Linked DNA regions of Rattus norvegicus. The protein of the gene in region 1 purifies or fractionates together with the protein of each later gene. This does not show direct contact. Links are inferred from orthologs where the notes say so. Each region holds a gene or a part of one and is shown in the gene's direction. Other genes may lie near its edges.

Region 1 (4,640 bases):
TTCTACTTTGCCATTTTTATTTTATCTATCTTCCAAACTATAACCATCATGAAGTGTTTGTAGACTGTGCTACAGTAGAATAGGATATTTCTATTTTGGACTGTATTTTTGGCACAGATGCACATTTAACCGTGCTTGATAATTTCTGTTACCGTGACCTGATGATGTGGCTTTGCTGGGTGTGGCTATGACAGTCACTAAGTTTTAGAAGTTAATGCTATCTTTTTCATAGTTTTATCAACATTGAGATGAATATTTTCAGATCTTGGTAACTATCACATATTACTCTCAGAGTTTAAATAATAAAAAGACTTATTTAACAAATTACAGTACCAGAAGTTCGCTTGAATTTAGAGAAGATGATGGAGCAGAAGCGTTCTGCAGTAAAAGCATTAACAGGGGGAATTGCCCACTTATTCAAACAAAATAAGGTTGGTGTTCAGTGCTCAGATTTCTGTTTTATTTTACATATACATGAAATAGTTGTTTTGTGCTAATAGCCATATTTTATGATCTTGGCCTGCTGTGGGATATTGACTTAATTTAAAATAGTACTAAAACATTTAAAAAGTAATGTAATGCATTTATTATTATACAAACCCTACAAAGAGTAAAAGCCAAAAGAAAATCCAAAATAACACTACCCTGAGAAACAGATGTCCCTGAGATAGTATTTTGACTGCTACATGCATTGTATATTTTAAAGGAAACATTTCATGTTCTGTGTTACCTAGAGTATTGTTCCTGTTACTCTTATCAGAAAAACATTTAAACATTGTGAATTTGTAAATATTGCTTTATAAAGGTTGTTCATGTCAATGGATTTGGAAAGATAACTGGCAAGAATCAGGTTACAGCTACAACGGCCGATGGCAGCACTCAGGTTATTGGTACCAAAAACATCCTTATAGCTACGGGCTCAGAAGTTACTCCTTTTCCCGGAATCACGGTATTTATGCTTTCTAATTCATCTCTTACAACCTTCCTTATAAAACAGGGTTTTATAAATTTATCCTGTTTATCAATGTTGACTAAAACACTAATTTGGCAGCCATTTATCATTGCAGTTATTTCTCATTATTTTGCAGTGATTATGATAAGATATAGAACACTTTATAATATATTTGAGTTCACATTAAGGTAAGCTAGGCACGGTGGTGAGTGTCTGTAATCCCAGGATTTGGGAAGCAGAAGCAGGAAGTTTGTTATACGGTCAGTGGTTAACAGGTTTGGAGCCAGGACTGCACAGGAAGACTGTCTCAGAAAAAGCTGGTGAGAGCCGGGCTGATAAAGTACTTGCTGTCCACCTGTGTGAGCACTGGGCATGGTGGGATGGACCTGTACTCCTAGCACAGCTGCTGAAGGATGGCTAAGGTTGACTTTGTGCTTCCACACATGTAAACACATATACACACTTACACAACAACAGTAAAACACAACATAACACAGAGTTAAAATTAACCATTTTAATTTGGAAGGTCGAATGGTAAAATTTCAGAGTAGCATTTTGAGTGAGAGCTAAAGAAATTGTGATATATCTATAGATAACATTAAGCAAATAAATGACATAAAATTTTATTGGATAAGACCAAAATAATAACACACTAGGTTTCCACAAGTAATTCTGATTGTTGTTTTTTCTTTTTTTATAGATTGATGAAGACACTATAGTGTCGTCTACGGGAGCTTTATCCTTAAAAAAAGTTCCAGAGAAGTTGGTTGTTATTGGTGCAGGAGTAATCGGTGTGGAATTGGTTAAGTGTGATCTTCCTTTTATTGCTGCTGTGGGGTTGAAAGGGACTTAAAACTCTTCTTGGAGGCCAGAAAGATAGCTCAATGGTTAGCAGCAGTACTGTTTTATCAGGGGACTCAGGTTCAGTTCCCAGCACCCATATCAAACTTCTCCGAATCACCTGAGCCCCAGGAGCTCGCCACCTGTACCCACATACCCGTCACATACCCACATGCTGCAAAGAAGTAAAGAGAATCTCTCTTTGAAAAAAGAGACAAGATTGAGACAGTTTCAGGTAGTATGTAAAAAGGAGAGATAGCTCAGTGCCTAAGAGTACTGGCTGCTCTTGCAGAGGACCAGGTAAAGTTCCCAGCACCCACAGTGATTTTCAACGCTCCATAGCTCCAGTTCTAGGGAGTCTGTACCCTCTTCTGGCTCTGAGGACACCAGGCATGTACATGGTGCCCAGACTCCATCAGACGAACACCCATCTATATAAAATAGAAATAAGTCTTAAAGCAAAAAAAAATTAAAATAAAAATTGGTCTTAAAGCAAAACAAAACAAAAACCCTACTTGTATTACATGATTTTTTTGTGTAACATTTCAGGTCAGTCAGTATTGAGTTCTGCTTAAGTCTTACAGCAATAACAAATACATCTTTTCTTCCAACATAACATATTTAGGTAAATCATTAGTCTTTAGTATGCCCTTTGTTTTATAGTCTGCTACAAGGTTCTTGTTAAAGTCACAGCCCTCGTCATGAACCTCAGCCTGGCTGAAGACCTTTATTTCCCTAGCTGAGTACTGGTCTCTTCCAGGGCTGCTTAACTCCCCACTCACATTCTACCTGACTGGTACGGTGTCTCTCCTCTCCTCACGTGGAGCTTCCTGAGGAACAAGCAGGAGAAAGCATGGACTGGACAGGACTCCCTTGCCTCGTGCTCATGCTTCAGATTTGAAAGTACCTTTGCCTCACAAGTCTTCTTTTGTTCTCCCTGCTATGGGGAGAATATCATTTTCCCTAAGAGTAATGTCTTCACCTACTGTCACTTTATAGCATGTTCGTCTGCCATCACAGTGACTTAGTTCTGTGATGTTTGTTTCTTTTCTTTAAACTCATCTGCTTTCTACCTGCTGTTCTCCCACTCCCTTTTTTTGAGAGAAGGTCTCATACAGCCCTGACTGGCTTAGGACTGGCTATGTAGATTAGATTGGCCTTGAACTTGCAGCAGTCCTCCTGCCTCTGCCACCTAAGCTCCTGTTTATTTTCCTTGTGATTTATAGTTGAACATGCCTGTTTATACCTCGGTGTCTCACATGTTCAGGTGCATTTCCTTACAGACACATGCTTATATTTATGTCAGTAAGCCTTGTGTGAGCCTTTTCCAAGTTACTAATTTCCTTCTTTCTTTTTTCCATCTTATGCTGGATTTACATATACCTTCTGAGTTACCTTTTTTTTTTAAATTGCATATTCAGATTTCTTTCTTTTATTGAGAATTTCTTACACGCTATTATTTTTATAACATCCACCCTCCATTCTTTCCACTCCAGATTTTCCCCTCTCCCTCCTACCACTTTCCCCTGTCACCTTCATATGTTCTCTCTTTTAACTCAGAGTCCATTTAGTGCTGTGTGCATGTGCATGGGGGTAGTGCTATTTACTGGAGCATGGGTAGTTTTTTTGGTACTCTATTCCTGAAGAAAATTTACCTCCCCAGCACATCAATTGCTAGTACCTTCTCATCTAGAGGTGGGACTTTCTTTTTTTTTTTTTTTTTTTTGGTTCTTTTTTTCGGAGCTGGGGACCGAACCCAGGGCCTTGCGCTTCCTAGGTAAGCGCTCTACCACTGAGCTAAATCCCCAGCCCCGAGGTGGGACTTTCTTAGTCCCTCCCTGTCCTTGCTAAGATATTGGTGGTCTTAATCTTGTACAGATCTTACACACGCAGTCACAGCCACTATAGGTTCCTAGTGTGCGGTAGCCCTGTCGTGCCCAGCAAATACTGTCTGTCTGCTGCCTGTGGCTCTTACAGTCTTCCTGCCCCAGTTTCTGCAGTGACTCCTGAGCCCTGGGGAAGGGACATGCTATAGATTAAGAGTTGGGTACTCCATAGCCTCTCATGTTTTCTGAATACTGACCTTTTGTGTTTCTGTATTAGTTACTGTCTACTGCACAAAGAGGCTTCTGGGATGAAGCCAGTGCAAGATCAACATCATACTTCTTTAATCTTAGGACCCTTGTACTTCTCCTCTGCCTTAGACACTCTCGTCTCAGTCACTGCTGTAGTTGGTTTTCTTCACTCCCACGTAAATGTTACTTAGACGGAAGCCTGCAATCATGCTATCTCAGATGGCCCTGGATCTGTTTTCTCCTCTTTCTTATAGCATTTTGTTATCTTCCAGCATGAAGTTTATATATTGTTGACTTCCTCTACCATATTGTAAAGTTTCCAGGGACACACAATTTTGTTTAATAACAGGCCTAATGGTTATAGTGGGCCTGGTTATAGTAGGTAAATGTGGAATAGATGAATGAATAATAGATAATCTTAAATGAGTTTCCTTTTAAACACTAGAGCTTCCCCTAAACATTTGCAAAAGAAGACAATGTTTGAGGTAATTAGTGAATGTTGCTATGGAAACTTAATGTTTTTTTTTCTTAAAAATTAATTTTAGGGTTCAGTTTGGCAAAGACTTGGTGCAGATGTGACAGCGGTTGAATTTTTGGGTCATGTGGGTGGAATTGGAATCGACATGGAGATATCTAAAAATTTTCAACGTATTCTTCAAAAGCAAGGATTTAAGTTTAAGCTGAATACAAAAGTTACTGGTGCCACCAAGAAGTCAGATGGAAAAATTGATGTGTCGTAAGTATGATGCGTTTGTTTTTGGCAAGCCATCCTT
Region 2 (4,640 bases), on another chromosome or scaffold:
AGCAGAAAGCTAAGAGCTCCCAAAACTCACATAACTTCCCAAAACTTACACAACTTTCCAAAACAAATTGAGTTCTCCTGAGAACTGAGCCAAGGACAGAGGGAACAAAAACGTTATCTACTGTCCAGATCTGTCTTAGTCAGGGTTTCTATTCCTGCACAAACATCATGACCAAGAAGTTGGGGAGGAAAGGGTTTATTCAGCTTACACTTCCACATTGCTGTTCCTCACCAAAGGAAGTCAGGACTGGAACTCCCACGGGGCAGGAAGCAGGAGCTGATGCAGAGGCCGTGGAGGGATGTTACTCACTGGCTTGCTTCCCCTGGCTTGCTCAGCTTGCTCTCTTATAGAACCCAAGACCACCAGCCCAGGGACAGCACCACCCACAATGGGCTGGGTCCTCCCCACTGGATCACTAATTGAGACAATGCCTTACAACTGGGTCTCATGGAGGCATTTCCTCAACTGAAGGTCGTTTCTCTGTGATAACTTCAGCTTGTGTCAAGTTGACACACAAAACCAGCCGGTACAAGATGTCTAACTGCATTTCTGAAGTAATGCTGACAAATTAGGGAGAATGTTGATGTTTGGAGGCTTTGACTCAGTAGTTTTCTCTGAGCTTTTAGTTGTTCAGTGATGGAAGTTCTGCCTAGTGGACTTAAAGGGCATAATGGATGGCTCTGGGCAACAGACGACTGTGCAGGGGTCAGCTCAGTAGTGACCAAGGGAAGTCTTCTGTCCTCAGCATTACCCCAGCAGCAGGCCACATGGCAGTGAGAGGCAGAGAAGCCCGTTGTTGGTGTAGCAGGAAGAACCTGTGGGACACTTGGTGTTAATAGCCTCTCTGGGGCTGAGTTATACAGAAGCACACCTTATTTTGCTGGTCATGTGCAGAACTGAGACATGACAATAGATTGGTGAAGCTGTGAAGCTAAGGGTAGCTCAATCTGACTTAGCAGTTCTAAGGCTTATTATCTTAGATGCTACATCATCAGTTCTGGGGAGGTAGAAGCAGAACAATCTCTGCTTGAGGCCAGCTTGGTCTAATAGCAAAGTACCAAGCCTACATAGTGAGACCCTGTCTCAGAAAAACTAAAAGGAAAAAGAAATGTCATGTAGATTGATTAAAACCTTTAATTTCGGGGCTGGAGAATTGGCTCAGTGGTTAAGAGCACTGACTGCTCTTCCCGAGGTCGTGAGTTCAATTCCCAGCAACCACATGATGGCTCACAACCATCTGTAATGGGATCTAATGCCCTCTTCTGGTGTGTCTGAAGACAGATATAGTGTACTTGTGTACATTAAATAAATAAATATTAAAAAAAAACACCTTTAATTTCAAAAGTCTTTCCAGCAATTTGATTTTTCTTTTGGCTACAAAAGCTGTAGTATATTGTGAACAGAAGTTCAGGAAAAGTCTGTTTTATTGTTCAAAGGACAGACACCTGACCATAAATTCAACAAGCCTTTAACTACCAGTGCCAGCTGACCTCATTGTCTAAACCAGATGGAGTCCCTGGGCTTGTGTTCGGATTCTGGCTCTGAAGACGGCTGGGGTGGAGGGTCTGCTGTTGCCTTTGCTAGTTCAGTGCGCTCCTGGCTTGCGCACCTGTGGTCTGGGCCTCCAATCTAGTTGTGTAAGTGGTAAAGGCTCAGCAAGGAGCGTGAGTGTGCGAGAATACCGGAGTTAGGCATCCCTGAGGGGAACTTACAAGATCCCTCCAGTTGTATAGGCTATTTCTCTTCTCTTCTTAACTTCCTTTCCATAAGAGCCAGCTCTATTGCTGGTCTCCACCTTTGCAGAACTGACCGCTACCTCCTTCCTCAGGTGTGATTCAAGACTTATTGGGTCTATTCAAGACCTGTGCTTTTACCCAGGCATGGTGTCACATGCCACCACCATCATTATCATTATTATTATTAAATTATTGGGATGAATACCTTTAATCCAAGCATTTGGTAGGCAGAGATAAGTGAGTCTCTGTGAGTTCGAAGCCAAATTGGTCTACGTAGTGAGTTTGAAGCTAGCCCAAGCTATACAGTCTCAGAAAAGAAGTCATGTCCTTTTCCCTGAGCTGTCCCGTTCTTCAGACCTGAAGTTTCCAGAGGAGTCCGTTATTAGAAAGTTGAGGTTAAAAGGTTTTAAGTCTTTAAGTAACCACCAAGCTCACTAGCTTTTCTTTTCATGGATGGTGGACATACTGTAAAGTCAGCCTACCTTTCTTAGAAAAGGATCCAGTCCAAAAGCTGGCATGGTCTTCACTACCTCTGTGAAAATAATGAACCTGTTGTTCATTAGCCTGGCCTCTTACCCCTCAGGTTCCCAGTCCTAAGAAAAGGTTATGGCTATGTTAGAAGGACCTCAGAAGCTAAGTGTGGCTTATCCTGGCACGAGGGAGGCCACGGCAGGAGGATTACAACTTGATTTCTGCCTTCTGTCAGAGCACCTTGGCTGGAAAAAGGAAGTTTGCTTCTCCCTGGCCTGAATAAAAGGGCAGTGGTAATCTTCACACAGTGTGGCTGGGTTAAACATACCCTTGCCAGTATGGAGGGCAGTGGACAGGTAGATGGCTTATTGCTGACACACTGGAATAGTTTATGTTCATCATTGACTCTTGTGTCCCTGTATATATGTGGACAGATGGCCTACTGCCAGCACATTGGTGTGGAGTTCATGTTCATTAACGATTTGGAGCAATGCCAGTGGATCCGGCAGAAGTTTGAGACCCCTGGGATCATGCAGTTCACCAATGAGGAGAAGCGGACCCTGCTGGCCAGGCTTGTACGGTCCACCAGGTAAAGCATGTGGTCGGGCCATGGGCTCCCAGGCCCACTTATGGGGTGTTGGTCGCCTGTCCTCCAGGCATGGGAATGGCTGTATCGACAAGTATGTGATAGGTTTGGCCAGGCGAATAAAGTTGGCCTCCATTGTACCCTCTTGTCATTGGAGAATGCTTATACTGAGGCTGGGCCTGTAGGCATCGCTCTTCAAGTTGACTGATTCTCCATCCAGGTTTGAGGAGTTCCTGCAGCGAAAGTGGTCCTCTGAGAAGCGTTTTGGTCTGGAAGGCTGTGAGGTGCTGATCCCTGCCCTCAAGACAATCATTGACATGTCAAGTGCAAATGGAGTGGACTATGTGATCATGGGGATGCCACACAGGTACTTCAGACCCTTAGAGCCTGGAAGGGACAGAAGGCCCTGTTGCTCCTGCATGGAGTGGCAGCTAGAGATCTGAGAATGCCTGAGTGTATTAGGATGTGTTGCTTTCCAAGGCCCTTACACTCCCACGTCGGGATGACTACAAAGTCAGTCTCAGAGCCAAATATAATTACACTTGTATTTCATTCTATAGGAGTTTTGTTAAAATTAAATCCAGGTGGGCATGGTAGTATGTGCCTATAATCTCAGTTCTTGAGAGGCTAGGGCAGGAAAATCACAAATTTGAAGTCCATGTTGGGCTACAGTAAGTTCTAAACTAGCTTTTACTACAGAATAAAAGTATGTCTCATAAGTAAACCCAGTGCCATTGCTGCTGTCTCACTTGTAACAATGACTGCTCTCTGAGATCTGGGAGAGACGGGGAGCTGGGCTCGTAGTTCTGTACTTTCTGCCTTTCTCTTGTCTGTGTGCTATGGCTCTGCATGCCCAACAGCCAGAGAGTTGGTGTCCACATCAACTTTGAATCACAACATTCTTGGGCTATAAACCAAGGAGATGCTGCTGTGTCCTGGGTAGGGGCAGGGTGGAGCAGCTTTCCCCTGGAACTTACTCAGTGTTCCCTGTGTCCCAGAGGACGACTGAACGTGCTAGCCAATGTCATCAGGAAGGAGCTGGAGCAGATATTCTGTCAGTTTGACTCGAAGCTGGAGGCAGCTGATGAGGTGAGCTTCTGTGAGGAGGAATGTCCGCTACAGTCGTCTCAGCCTGCTTGAGACTCCCAGGTTTCTCAGAATGTCTTAATTGAAGCTTTGCTCTTACACACCATTTACAGTTTGCCTTCCTTATCAGAATTGGCCAACCTCCTCTACCGTGAAGCCTTATATTCCTCCTGCTGGGGCAACAATATTCCTTCTGCCCAAGTAACTCTATATTTGTGCATGGGAGGTATAATATTGGGGAGAGCCTCCCCATCCTTCCACAGTTAGGTCCTAGGAGTCAAAGTCCCATGGGTACTGCCATTGAGAATGAACCTCTCCAACCAATATCACTTGTCTTTTTATTTTCTGTTTGTCCTGGCTGTCTTGGAACATGTAGACCAGGCTGACCTCAAACTCAAAGATCCATCTGTCTCTGCCTCCCAAGCACTGGGCCTAAAGGCGTGTGCACCACTGCCTGGCATCACTTCTCATTTTTATCTTCAGGGTTCCGGGGACATGAAGTACCACCTGGGCATGTATCACCGAAGGATCAACCGTGTGACCGACAGAAACATCACTCTGTCCTTGGTGGCTAACCCTTCCCACTTAGAGGCTGCTGACCCTGTAGTGATGGGAAAGACCAAAGCTGAACAGTTCTACTGTGGAGACACTGAAGGGAAAAAGGTGAGGCCCTAAGAGGTCTATGAGCACAGGTGTCGTCCCATGGCTTCCTACACTTATAATCACCAAAACCACGGAAGGCTTTACCTTGTGTCTTCAAA
Region 3 (4,583 bases), on another chromosome or scaffold:
CTGGCCTCCAGCCGGTGCCCATAGTGTTCAGGGGGCCCAACGGCGCCTCAGCGGGCGTGGCTGCTCAGCACTCGCAATGCTTCGCTGCGTGGTATGGGCACTGCCCCGGTTTGAAAGTGGTCAGCCCCTGGAATTCCGAGGATGCGAAAGGACTTATTAAATCGGCCATTCGTGATGATAATCCAGGTAACTCCTGCTTCTCTTGAACAGTGAAAGAGCTGACATGAACCATACAAGGAACCATCGAGGCCATCTAGTGAGGCTTAGATATAGCATATGTATAACGTATAAATGATTTATAGACACAAAGATAGTCAAAAATGTAGGGCCAGTTCTTTACTGCATACCTGCACATTTGGCTTAACCTCTACCGACCAGACTGTGTATAAACCATCCTGATGCTTCTAGGTGAGACAGAAACCAGGCTTCTTATTCATAAGATGAGTGGTTTTGTGGTATGTGCATTCATAGTCATTCTGCCTGTACTTTGTTGTTTGAGAGCTTATACTGTCTTGCAGTGGTGATGCTAGAGAATGAACTGATGTATGGAGTTGCATTTGAACTTCCCACAGAAGCTCAATCAAAAGATTTCCTGATTCCTATTGGAAAAGCCAAAATTGAAAGGCAAGGTAAGGACACCTTGGTATTCATGAATTGTTTTTACTGTAGCCCTTTTGTTTGCAAAGGTTAGAAGTTACTGCTATGGAGTTTGACTTGAAAAGTAAAGAATGAATGAGCTCATTGAGTCTCTCTGGTAGGTTTGATTTCATGTCCATGAACACAGCCTCACTGTGCAGCTCACTGAAGTAAGCTGCACGATTGATAAGACTAGCTGTGGCTCCTTACAGCATCGCTAATCTGTGACTGCTTTATTTCAGGGACCCACATCACTGTAGTTGCCCATTCAAGACCAGTGGGCCACTGCCTAGAAGCTGCAGCTGTATTGTCTAAGGAGGGAATTGAATGTGAGGTAAGTGGACTTTCACTGCCCCAACCCCTCACAAATCAGAAAGTCTCCTTTAAGATCCAAGACTGATGAGTTGGCTTAGCAGGTAAAATTGCTGACAATCTTAGGTTTGATTCCCAAGAGCCATAGAGAGAACCAACTCCTGAAAGTTGTCGTCTGCCATCTCCCCCACTTATGCCACCGCATGCTTTCTTTTAAGATTTATTTTCTTACTATGTGTACAGCATGCAGGCCGGAACAGACACAGATCTCACTGTAGGTGGTTATGAGTCACCATGTGGTTGCTGGGATTTGAACTCAGGACCTCTGGAAGAGCAGCCAGTGCTTTTAACCACTGAGCCACCTCTCCAGCCTTTGAATTCTTTGTTTTTTCAAGACAAGATTTCTCTGTGTAGTCCTGGCTGTCTTAGAACTGGGGCTGACTTTGAACTCGAGGTCCACCTGCCTGAGTACTGGGATTAAAGGCATGTGTCGCCACACCCAGCTACAGTGCATGCTTCTGTATGCTACTACACACTCACTGCACTATGTCCAGAAGCTATGAATGGTGATTCATGCCTGTAATCCCAAGACTCAGAAGATAAGTAGAATCATGGTTGCCAGGCCACCTTGAGCTTTGTCATCAGTCTGTCTCTGCTTTCAGCCAAAAGTGGTGGTTGTTTAACCACATAAACTCTGGATCTTTTAAATCCCTACTCTCTCAAGTTATGATCTAATCTTGTTAGGCTGGGGAAATGGCTCATCCAGTAAAGGCTTGCTCTGTAAGCATGAAGACCTGAGTTGGAGCCCTAGCACCCACATAAAAACCAAACCAGAACAAACAAGTCAGGTATGGCAGCATGGGCTTACTACCCAGCACTGGGGAGACCGAGCTAGGAGGACCCCTTGGGCAGTGAGACCAAACTGGAGGGCATCTCTTCTGATTATCTAATCTGTACAACTTAAGTAGCTTTCCTTGGAAAGTATCACTGCTTCATAGGCTGTAGAAATGTGGTAACAGGGATTCTCCTCCATCCTGGGGTATCTGGGTGTAGACCTGGTGCATATTAAGCACTCAACTATATATTGTGATAAGAGGGATATTGAAACCAAGGAGGATAAGTGAATCCTCTAGGTGAGCAAAGCTTCCTGTGATTGGTTGCAAGCTTCTGTTTTAATTGTAAATTCCCCTTTTACTTTTGTTTGAGACAAGATCTCACTGTGTAGCCAACACTGTCCATACTCACACTTGGGGCCATCCTGCCTTAGCCTCCTAAGCAGTGAGCTTACAGGTATGCGGTCGTCATACCTGTACATTTGTGTGCCTTTGACAGATACATTCAAATTTTCTTAGATCCAAAGATTAACAGAAACAAAACGTGGTGTTTTTGGGTCAAGGCTGTATTTGTCTCCTAGATTGTATAAAGACTATTTCCAGCCTTGTCTTTAGGTAATAAATCTGCGGACCATCAGACCAATGGACATTGAAGCTATAGAAGCCAGTGTCATGAAGACAAATCATCTCGTAACTGTGGAAGGAGGCTGGCCACAATTTGGAGTAGGAGCTGAGATTTGTGCGAGAATTATGGAAGGTATTTCAAAGAACCTGGTTTTAGAACATAATCAAGCTATAGTGAGCACTCAACACTTGAATACCAATGAGAAAGAGATCAAAAGCTAGAGATGACCAAGTGACTTTTCAACTTGTCAGTCTAGGGTTTCGTCTTTGGGTAAATGTTTTAAAAAGTCAGGCCAAAAGTGAGCCCTATAACTAGGATACATTACCTTGTTTTCTCTTGCTGAGTCCCCAGTCTGCTTCTCTCTTCCCTAGGCCCTGCATTCAACTTCCTTGATGCGCCTGCTGTTCGAGTCACTGGTGCTGATGTCCCTATGCCTTACGCAAAGATTCTAGAAGACAACTCCATACCTCAGGTCAAAGACATCATATTTGCAATAAAGAAGACTTTGAATATCTAATCTAGACGTTGAATGTCAAGTCAGTGAAATTTATTTAAAATACGTGTTGGGACTTCCCCTGACGTGTACTGGGAGACTTACTAGTCAGGAGTTAATGCTGATGTGGCAGCAGGTGTCTCTGTACTGGTAAGAAGTTTAAATGTGCTTATGAGTAGAATTTTTCTACTCCCTACCCTAGATGCTCTGCTCTCTTTGTCTGTTACTGTTAAGTTGGTCTAGTCTTTGAATAAGATTAATATAAAAATTTGCCCTCTTTCATTAGAAGGGGCAAGATAGAATGCCCCCATGGAAGATAACTTATATGTCTAAATAAAACATATATTATCTACATTTGCTGTTAAACTGTTTTGATAAGGAATAAAGGGGATTCCTACCTATGAGTAATTGCGTTTTTATGTTCATATAGTGTATGTGAACTATTAAGAAATTAGTATCAGGGGCTGGAGAGATGGCTTGGAGGTTAAGAGCACTGACTGCTCTTCCAGAGATCCTGAGTTCAAATCCCAGCAACACATGGTGGCTCACAACCATCTGTAATGAGATCTGATGTCTTCTGGTGTGTCTGAAGACAGCTACAGTGTACTATAAATAAATAAATAAATAAATACATAATAAATAAATCTTTAAAAAAAAAAAGAAATTAGTATCAGGCTGGGTGGTGGTGGCATGTGCCTTTAGTGCCAGCACTTGGGAGTGAGCCACAGGAGGCAGAGGCAGGTAGATAGATTTCTGAGTTCAAGGCCAACCTGGAGTACATTGTGAGTTCCAGGACAGCCAGGGCTACCCTGAGAAACCCTACCTTGAAAAACTACATACATACATACATACATACGTGTCAAATAACTAATATGCTGCATATCATATCTGTAGATTCTGTAGTTTTTTAGAGGATTTCACTGTGTCTTTGGCTAGCCCAGAACTCAGGATCTCACAGATCCCCCTGCCTCTGCCTTTAGAGAGCTGGCATTAAAGGTGTGTGAGGCCCCACCTTGTCCAAATTGAAGCCTTTTACTTCCAGGGCCATGGGCATGTCAGCCAGGGCCCTACTACTGAACATCATCCCTAGACTCTGACTGTTGCATTTATTTATGTCTCTAACATCGCTCAAACAGCAGAGCTGAAAGCAAAAGCTCTCAGGCCCAGGTTCCCACCAGCGACTGTCACTGGTCCACACTGCACCTAATAGCCCAGGTTCCCACCAGCGACTGCCACTGGTCCACACTGCACCTAATAGCCCAGGTTCCCACCAGCAACTGTCATTGGTCCACACTGCACCTAATAGTCCAGGTTCCCACCAGCGACTGTCATTGGTCCACACTGCACCTAATAGCCCAGGTTCCCACAAGCGACTGCCACTGGTCCACACTGCACCTAATAGCTGAGGCAGGCAGGGTCTATGGAGCCCAAATTGGCCTCAGACTGATTATGTGGTAGAGGATGACCCTCCTCCCTGTATCTCAAGTGCTACTGGACGGTGACAGATCAGGGCTTCCTCTATCCCGGTGAGACTCCTCACACCCAGTAAAGGGCTCCTTTTAAAGTTAAAGATTTACGTCAGGTTCTCCTCCACATTGCCAGAACCCATATATTCTGTCATCTATGAGCCTCTTTAACACTTGATGGTAAAGACTGGTTTAAACAGATATGGAAGGAGAACAGG
Region 4 (4,640 bases), about 57 Mb from region 1:
TCTACACATTGAACACCTCCTCCAAGACAGAGCCAACACCAGCTTCCTAGGCGTCTGTCAGAACAACCCCTTCTTTTCCACATTAGCATTAGTCTTTGCCCATGGACATATGTTTTTATTACATTCTAATAGTGTATACAAACTTTATACACAGCATTCTGTGTTCTATATTTTTGTATTGTTCCCCTTGATACTACACATATACATTTTAAAGTTATCCTGACATAAAAGAAAAAAGGCCAAAAGGCAATTGAGTCTACTTATGTAGTGTAAAGACATTCTAGTGAGGTATAATGCCTCATGCCTTTAATCCCAGCACTGGGGAGGTAGAGGCAGCGCAGATCTCTGAGTTTGAGGCCAGTCTAATCTACAGATTGAGTTCCAGGACAGCCAGGGCTACGTAGTGGTACTTAGTCTCGAAAAACAAAACAAATAAAACCTGTTGAGATCCCCTAAATCCTGTGTAAGAAGCACATTTTCATCAGTTTAACTCATTCCCTAAATAGTATAAATAACCACTGAATGACAGACAGCCTTAGTAACCGGGTGGATCAATATCTTCACTCCCCAGAAGCAACTTAATAAGTCTGCACACAGGCGATCGTTACTGGCTTCCAGCTTATACTGTCCCAGGTTCTAACGGCCTGGTTTTGAAGTTCCTTTGCAGCGAGTCCAGGGAGGGCAGATATGCTGCCTTTTACAAGGGAATGTTATAGGAAATACCACGTAGCTGGCTCTTTTTGGTTTTTGTTCTGCTTTGCTTTGTTTTGGTTTTCGTTGCTGTTTTTAATTTTGGGGGGGGGGGGATGGCCTAAAACTCTGCTTTTTGCATCTGAGTTTACTGTCATTTTGCTGCCTTATCTAAATTTAGTCCTGAGGATAGTAACACATTTGTATTTGGCATATCTGTGTGGTGCTGAGGTTTTGGTTAAAGAAACCTAATCAGGAAGAAACATCATTTGGTTTAGTTTGCAAAGGACCAAGATTCTTTTTACTTAGTAGAACCGCCGTGTCTCACTCTTGAGAGGTGACATTTCACTATAGTACTGAGCACTGTTTAAGGCACCTAGGTCACCATGCTTTGGTCCTACTTCTGAGTTAGAATGTGTCCAGGTCTGCCCTGACCTGTGTGCTTTGACAAGATGCCCTGCGTGAGAGTCTGCTTAAGATTCACCAGTTTAAAGAGGTAACCCTTGTACCTGGAGTAGACTGAAATATTAGTGGTTCATGATCTAAAAGAGTTAACATTTATGTTTCTTTTGTAGCATTAACAACAGTAGCGTCTTCAGTGTTCGCTTCTTCCAAACCACGGCAGTGTGCAGTTAAGTACCTGATTTCTTGTGAATGGACTTTTACTGGAAAGAGAAACAATTGACTGAGTTTATCAAAGAAAACCATTAAAAAGACAGAATGGGCACTTATGGTTTTCCTGTTTTGTTTTTCCCTAGAGAATGATGTGATTACAGTCCAGACCCCAGCGTTTGCAGAGTCTGTCACAGAGGGAGATGTCAGGTGGGAGAAAGGTAAGATTTTATTTCCTCTCATTTAAGTTAAAAAACGAAGGTCTCCTCATGAACCACAACAAGTGGAAACTGTGGCTCCACCATTTCTTTACACACGTATCTACTTCCTCCCAGTCTTGTAGGAAAGCGATCTTTTAACACAGTGGGCTCAAAGGGGACCAGAGGCTCCTGGCTAACAGGTGTCCTTTGACTGTCTTTCAGCTGTTGGAGATGCAGTTGCAGAAGATGAAGTGGTGTGTGAGATTGAGACAGACAAGGTGGGCTTATCCTAAAGACTTACTACAGCCTAATTTTAATTATTCCCTTGGTACTTAGTATGCACACTAGTAACTTTAATCGGCAGCTACTTTGTTTTCTTTGTGGTTCCTGGGCTGCTTTCCGTCTTCTTCCTTGTATCACTTGGAAGCATAGTAACTAAAGTATGTGTTAGCATTTCTAAGAAAGGACAGAAGGTGAACCCTCTCATAGCAATGACTCTCTTTTCTGACTGAAATGTGGCCTTATAAATGTGGCCTTAGGTGTTTCTGTGTGTGGAGAAGTGATATCCAGGTGTAAGGGAGCTGGAACTCCCACTGCTCATCCTGCTTGACTGATGCTGATACAAATGTGAATCCGTCTCTGTCTCTTTCTTTTCCAGACTTCTGTGCAGGTTCCATCACCAGCAAATGGCATCATTGAAGCTCTTTTGGTACCCGATGGGGGCAAAGTTGAAGGAGGAACTCCTCTATTCACACTCAGGAAAACCGGTGGTAAAGAAGTTTTTCTGGTGGTCAAGGTCTCCAGTGTTTCCTGGTGGGGTTGAGGCTGAGCATACTGTCCTAGCAACTCCCCTTGCCTCAGACTGGTGTCCTAGTTACACCTTTAGTTGAGGGATAGGAGAAATCCCGTTGACATGTATGGTGAACTTTTAATTGTCAAGTTCTAAGCCAACAGGGTAATTGAAAAACCCACAATACTCTGTTCTTCTCCTATTTCTTAGATTAGATCTTTTTCTTAAAGAACTAACAGAAGTCAGGAATCTGAAGAGAGAAATTTTCCTCCCATCGACCTGGATCACATGAAGCTTTAAAAAAATACAAATGGGGGTTGGGGATTTAGCTCAGTGGTAGAGCGCTCGAGCGCAAGGCCCTGGGTTCAGTTCCCAGCTCCAGGAAAAAAGAAAAAAAAATACAAATGAAAAGGCTTAGCTCCTGAGAGTTGTGATTTATCTCCTCACTATAACAGTTGGATCCTTGTTAGTTTTGTAGCATTCCCCTAAGTGATTCTGACATGCAGTCAGGCTTGAGAGCCACTGTTGAAAAGTGAGAATTACAATTTTATGGTGTGTGTTGTGGACAATTGAGTAGTTTCCTTTTTTAACAGTTACATTTGTGTGTGTGTCTGTGTGTGTGTGTGTGTGTGTGTGTGTGTGTATCTGTGTCTCTGTGTGTTTCTGTGTGTCTCTGTGTGTGTGTCTGTGTGTGTGGGGGGGGGGAGTGTATACAAAGGCATGCATGTGGAGATCAGTGGATAACTGGACAGTCAGTTTCTCTTCCTGTCATGTAGGCACTAGGGCTTGAACTCAGGTTGTCAGACTTGGTATCCTGTGTCTCTACCACTGAATCCTCTCCTTTCCGTGTAGTTTCTTCTCACATGTAACTTCTTAGGAAAATTGACATTTCTCTTTGGAAGATGTCTGTACTCGACTTTATAGTCAATATTAGAGATTAGAAAATCTGCTTTTCTGACTTGTAACTGAAGATTTTTCGTAGTTAGAGCATTTTACTATTAAAATAGTCAAGCAGAAAGATGGTAGATTGACCATTGAGGTTGGTCAGGGCAAGAGTAAGTTCAAAGAAAGGGGGAAGAACGTAAAGTAGCCAGGAAGAAGGAATCTGTCATTATGCATGCTGGGAACTGAACTCAGGTTCCTGTGGGAGCAATATGTACTATGGGCCCCTGAGCCATCTTTCTGGACCCCAAAATAACATTTTTATGAAATGCTCATTTAAGATTAAAGAGTTCAAAGGCTGGAGAGATGGCTCAGTGGTTCATAGTAGACACTGCTCTTTCAGAGGACCAGGTTCACTTCCTGGTGCCATCTGGCATCTCATAATTGACTGAATAAAACTCCAGCACCACGGGTTCCAGTGAGCCTCTCCAGGTACCTGAATGCGCAGACCCTCATATAGATACACACTGATACATAGTTAATAATAATTATTTAATTGATTTATTTAAAATATTCTTTTTTTTTTTTTTTTTTTTTTTTGGTTCTTTTTTTCGGAGCTGGGGACTGAACCCAGGGCCTTGCGCTTCCTAGGTAAGCGCTCTACCACTGAGCTAAATCCCCAGCCCCTACAATAAACATTCTTTTAAGAATTATTTATTTTATGTATCTGAGTACACTATAGCTATCTTCAGACACACCAGAAGAGGCCATCGGATCCATCTGGTGTCAACAGCTGGTTGTCAGTGTTAACTGCTGAGCCATCTCTCCAGCCCTCCTCCCCCTTTTTTAAAATTTCGAATGGTTAAGAGTATTCCTTTTGCCTGGTGGTAGCAGTGCACACCATTGATCCAGCATTCGGGAGGCAGAGTCAGGTGGATCTCTGTGAGTTTGAGACCAACTTGGTCTACCGAGAGTTCCAGGACAGCCAGAGCTACACAGAGAAACCCTGTCTTGAAAAACAAAACAAAAAGAGTATTTCTTGAACATGTTATGTTAAAATAGAAGATGATTAGCAGTGTGTCACATATATGTGTACATTTTCATTTAAACATGTTAAAACATTTTAATTTGCTTTAAACTGTGGTTCTCGAGCTGGTTGCAACCCCTTTGTAGTTTTTGGGTTTTTTTGTTTTTTTTTTTTACACTTTTCCTTTTTTCTTTTTTTCAGAGCTGGGGATCGAACCCAGGGCCTTGCGCTTGCTAGGCAAGCACTCTACCACTGAACTAAATCCCCAACCCTACCCCTTTGAAGTTTTAATGACCCTTTCACAAGGGTCATCTAAAAACTTCTGCATATCAGATATCCATATTATGATTCATGATAGTAGGAAGATGACAGTTATAAAGTAGCAATGAAAATAATTTTATGGCTGGGGGCAGGTCACCATAATATGAGGAACTGTATT

The links.
Region 2: the proteins of Dld (region 1) and Ogdh purify together in Homo sapiens (affinity purification with mass spectrometry; 3 studies listed by BioGRID and IntAct, counting the BioPlex papers as one, with this or other methods). This does not show direct contact. The link is inferred for Rattus norvegicus from reciprocal best matches to the Homo sapiens genes DLD and OGDH.
Region 3: the proteins of Dld (region 1) and Pdhb purify together in Homo sapiens (affinity purification with mass spectrometry; 3 studies listed by BioGRID and IntAct, counting the BioPlex papers as one, with this or other methods). This does not show direct contact. The link is inferred for Rattus norvegicus from reciprocal best matches to the Homo sapiens genes DLD and PDHB.
Region 4: the proteins of Dld (region 1) and Dlst purify together in Homo sapiens (affinity purification with mass spectrometry; 3 studies listed by BioGRID and IntAct, counting the BioPlex papers as one, with this or other methods). This does not show direct contact. The link is inferred for Rattus norvegicus from reciprocal best matches to the Homo sapiens genes DLD and DLST.

The regions. Positions count from the first base shown.
Region 1 is NC_086024.1:53,638,539-53,643,178, reverse strand, and holds part of Dld (dihydrolipoyl dehydrogenase, mitochondrial precursor), read left to right. Parts: intron 1-330; coding exon 331-431; intron 432-805; coding exon 806-949; intron 950-1,652; coding exon 1,653-1,754; intron 1,755-1,855; exon of another isoform or gene 1,856-3,487; intron 3,488-3,608; exon of another isoform or gene 3,609-4,412; coding exon 4,413-4,603; intron 4,604-4,640. UniProt on the Homo sapiens protein: Lipoamide dehydrogenase is a component of the glycine cleavage system as well as an E3 component of three alpha-ketoacid dehydrogenase complexes (pyruvate-, alpha-ketoglutarate-, and branched-chain amino acid-dehydrogenase complex).
Region 2 is NC_086032.1:85,405,171-85,409,810, forward strand, and holds part of Ogdh (2-oxoglutarate dehydrogenase complex component E1 precursor), read left to right. Parts: intron 1-2,641; coding exon 2,642-2,796; intron 2,797-3,013; coding exon 3,014-3,160; intron 3,161-3,791; coding exon 3,792-3,882; intron 3,883-4,362; coding exon 4,363-4,542; intron 4,543-4,640. UniProt on the Homo sapiens protein: 2-oxoglutarate dehydrogenase (E1o) component of the 2-oxoglutarate dehydrogenase complex (OGDHC). Participates in the first step, rate limiting for the overall conversion of 2-oxoglutarate to succinyl-CoA and CO(2) catalyzed by the whole OGDHC.
Region 3 is NC_086033.1:19,185,429-19,190,011, forward strand, and holds the end of Pdhb (pyruvate dehydrogenase E1 component subunit beta, mitochondrial precursor), read left to right. Parts: coding exon 1-186; intron 187-518; coding exon 519-629; intron 630-878; coding exon 879-970; intron 971-2,396; coding exon 2,397-2,538; intron 2,539-2,777; coding exon 2,778-2,923; 3' UTR 2,924-3,303; downstream 3,304-4,583. UniProt on the Homo sapiens protein: The pyruvate dehydrogenase complex catalyzes the overall conversion of pyruvate to acetyl-CoA and CO(2), and thereby links the glycolytic pathway to the tricarboxylic cycle.
Region 4 is NC_086024.1:110,495,846-110,500,485, forward strand, and holds part of Dlst (dihydrolipoyllysine-residue succinyltransferase component of 2-oxoglutarate dehydrogenase complex, mitochondrial), read left to right. Parts: intron 1-1,265; coding exon 1,266-1,321; intron 1,322-1,448; coding exon 1,449-1,523; intron 1,524-1,724; coding exon 1,725-1,780; intron 1,781-2,160; coding exon 2,161-2,272; intron 2,273-4,640. UniProt on the Homo sapiens protein: Dihydrolipoamide succinyltransferase (E2) component of the 2-oxoglutarate dehydrogenase complex. The 2-oxoglutarate dehydrogenase complex catalyzes the overall conversion of 2-oxoglutarate to succinyl-CoA and CO(2).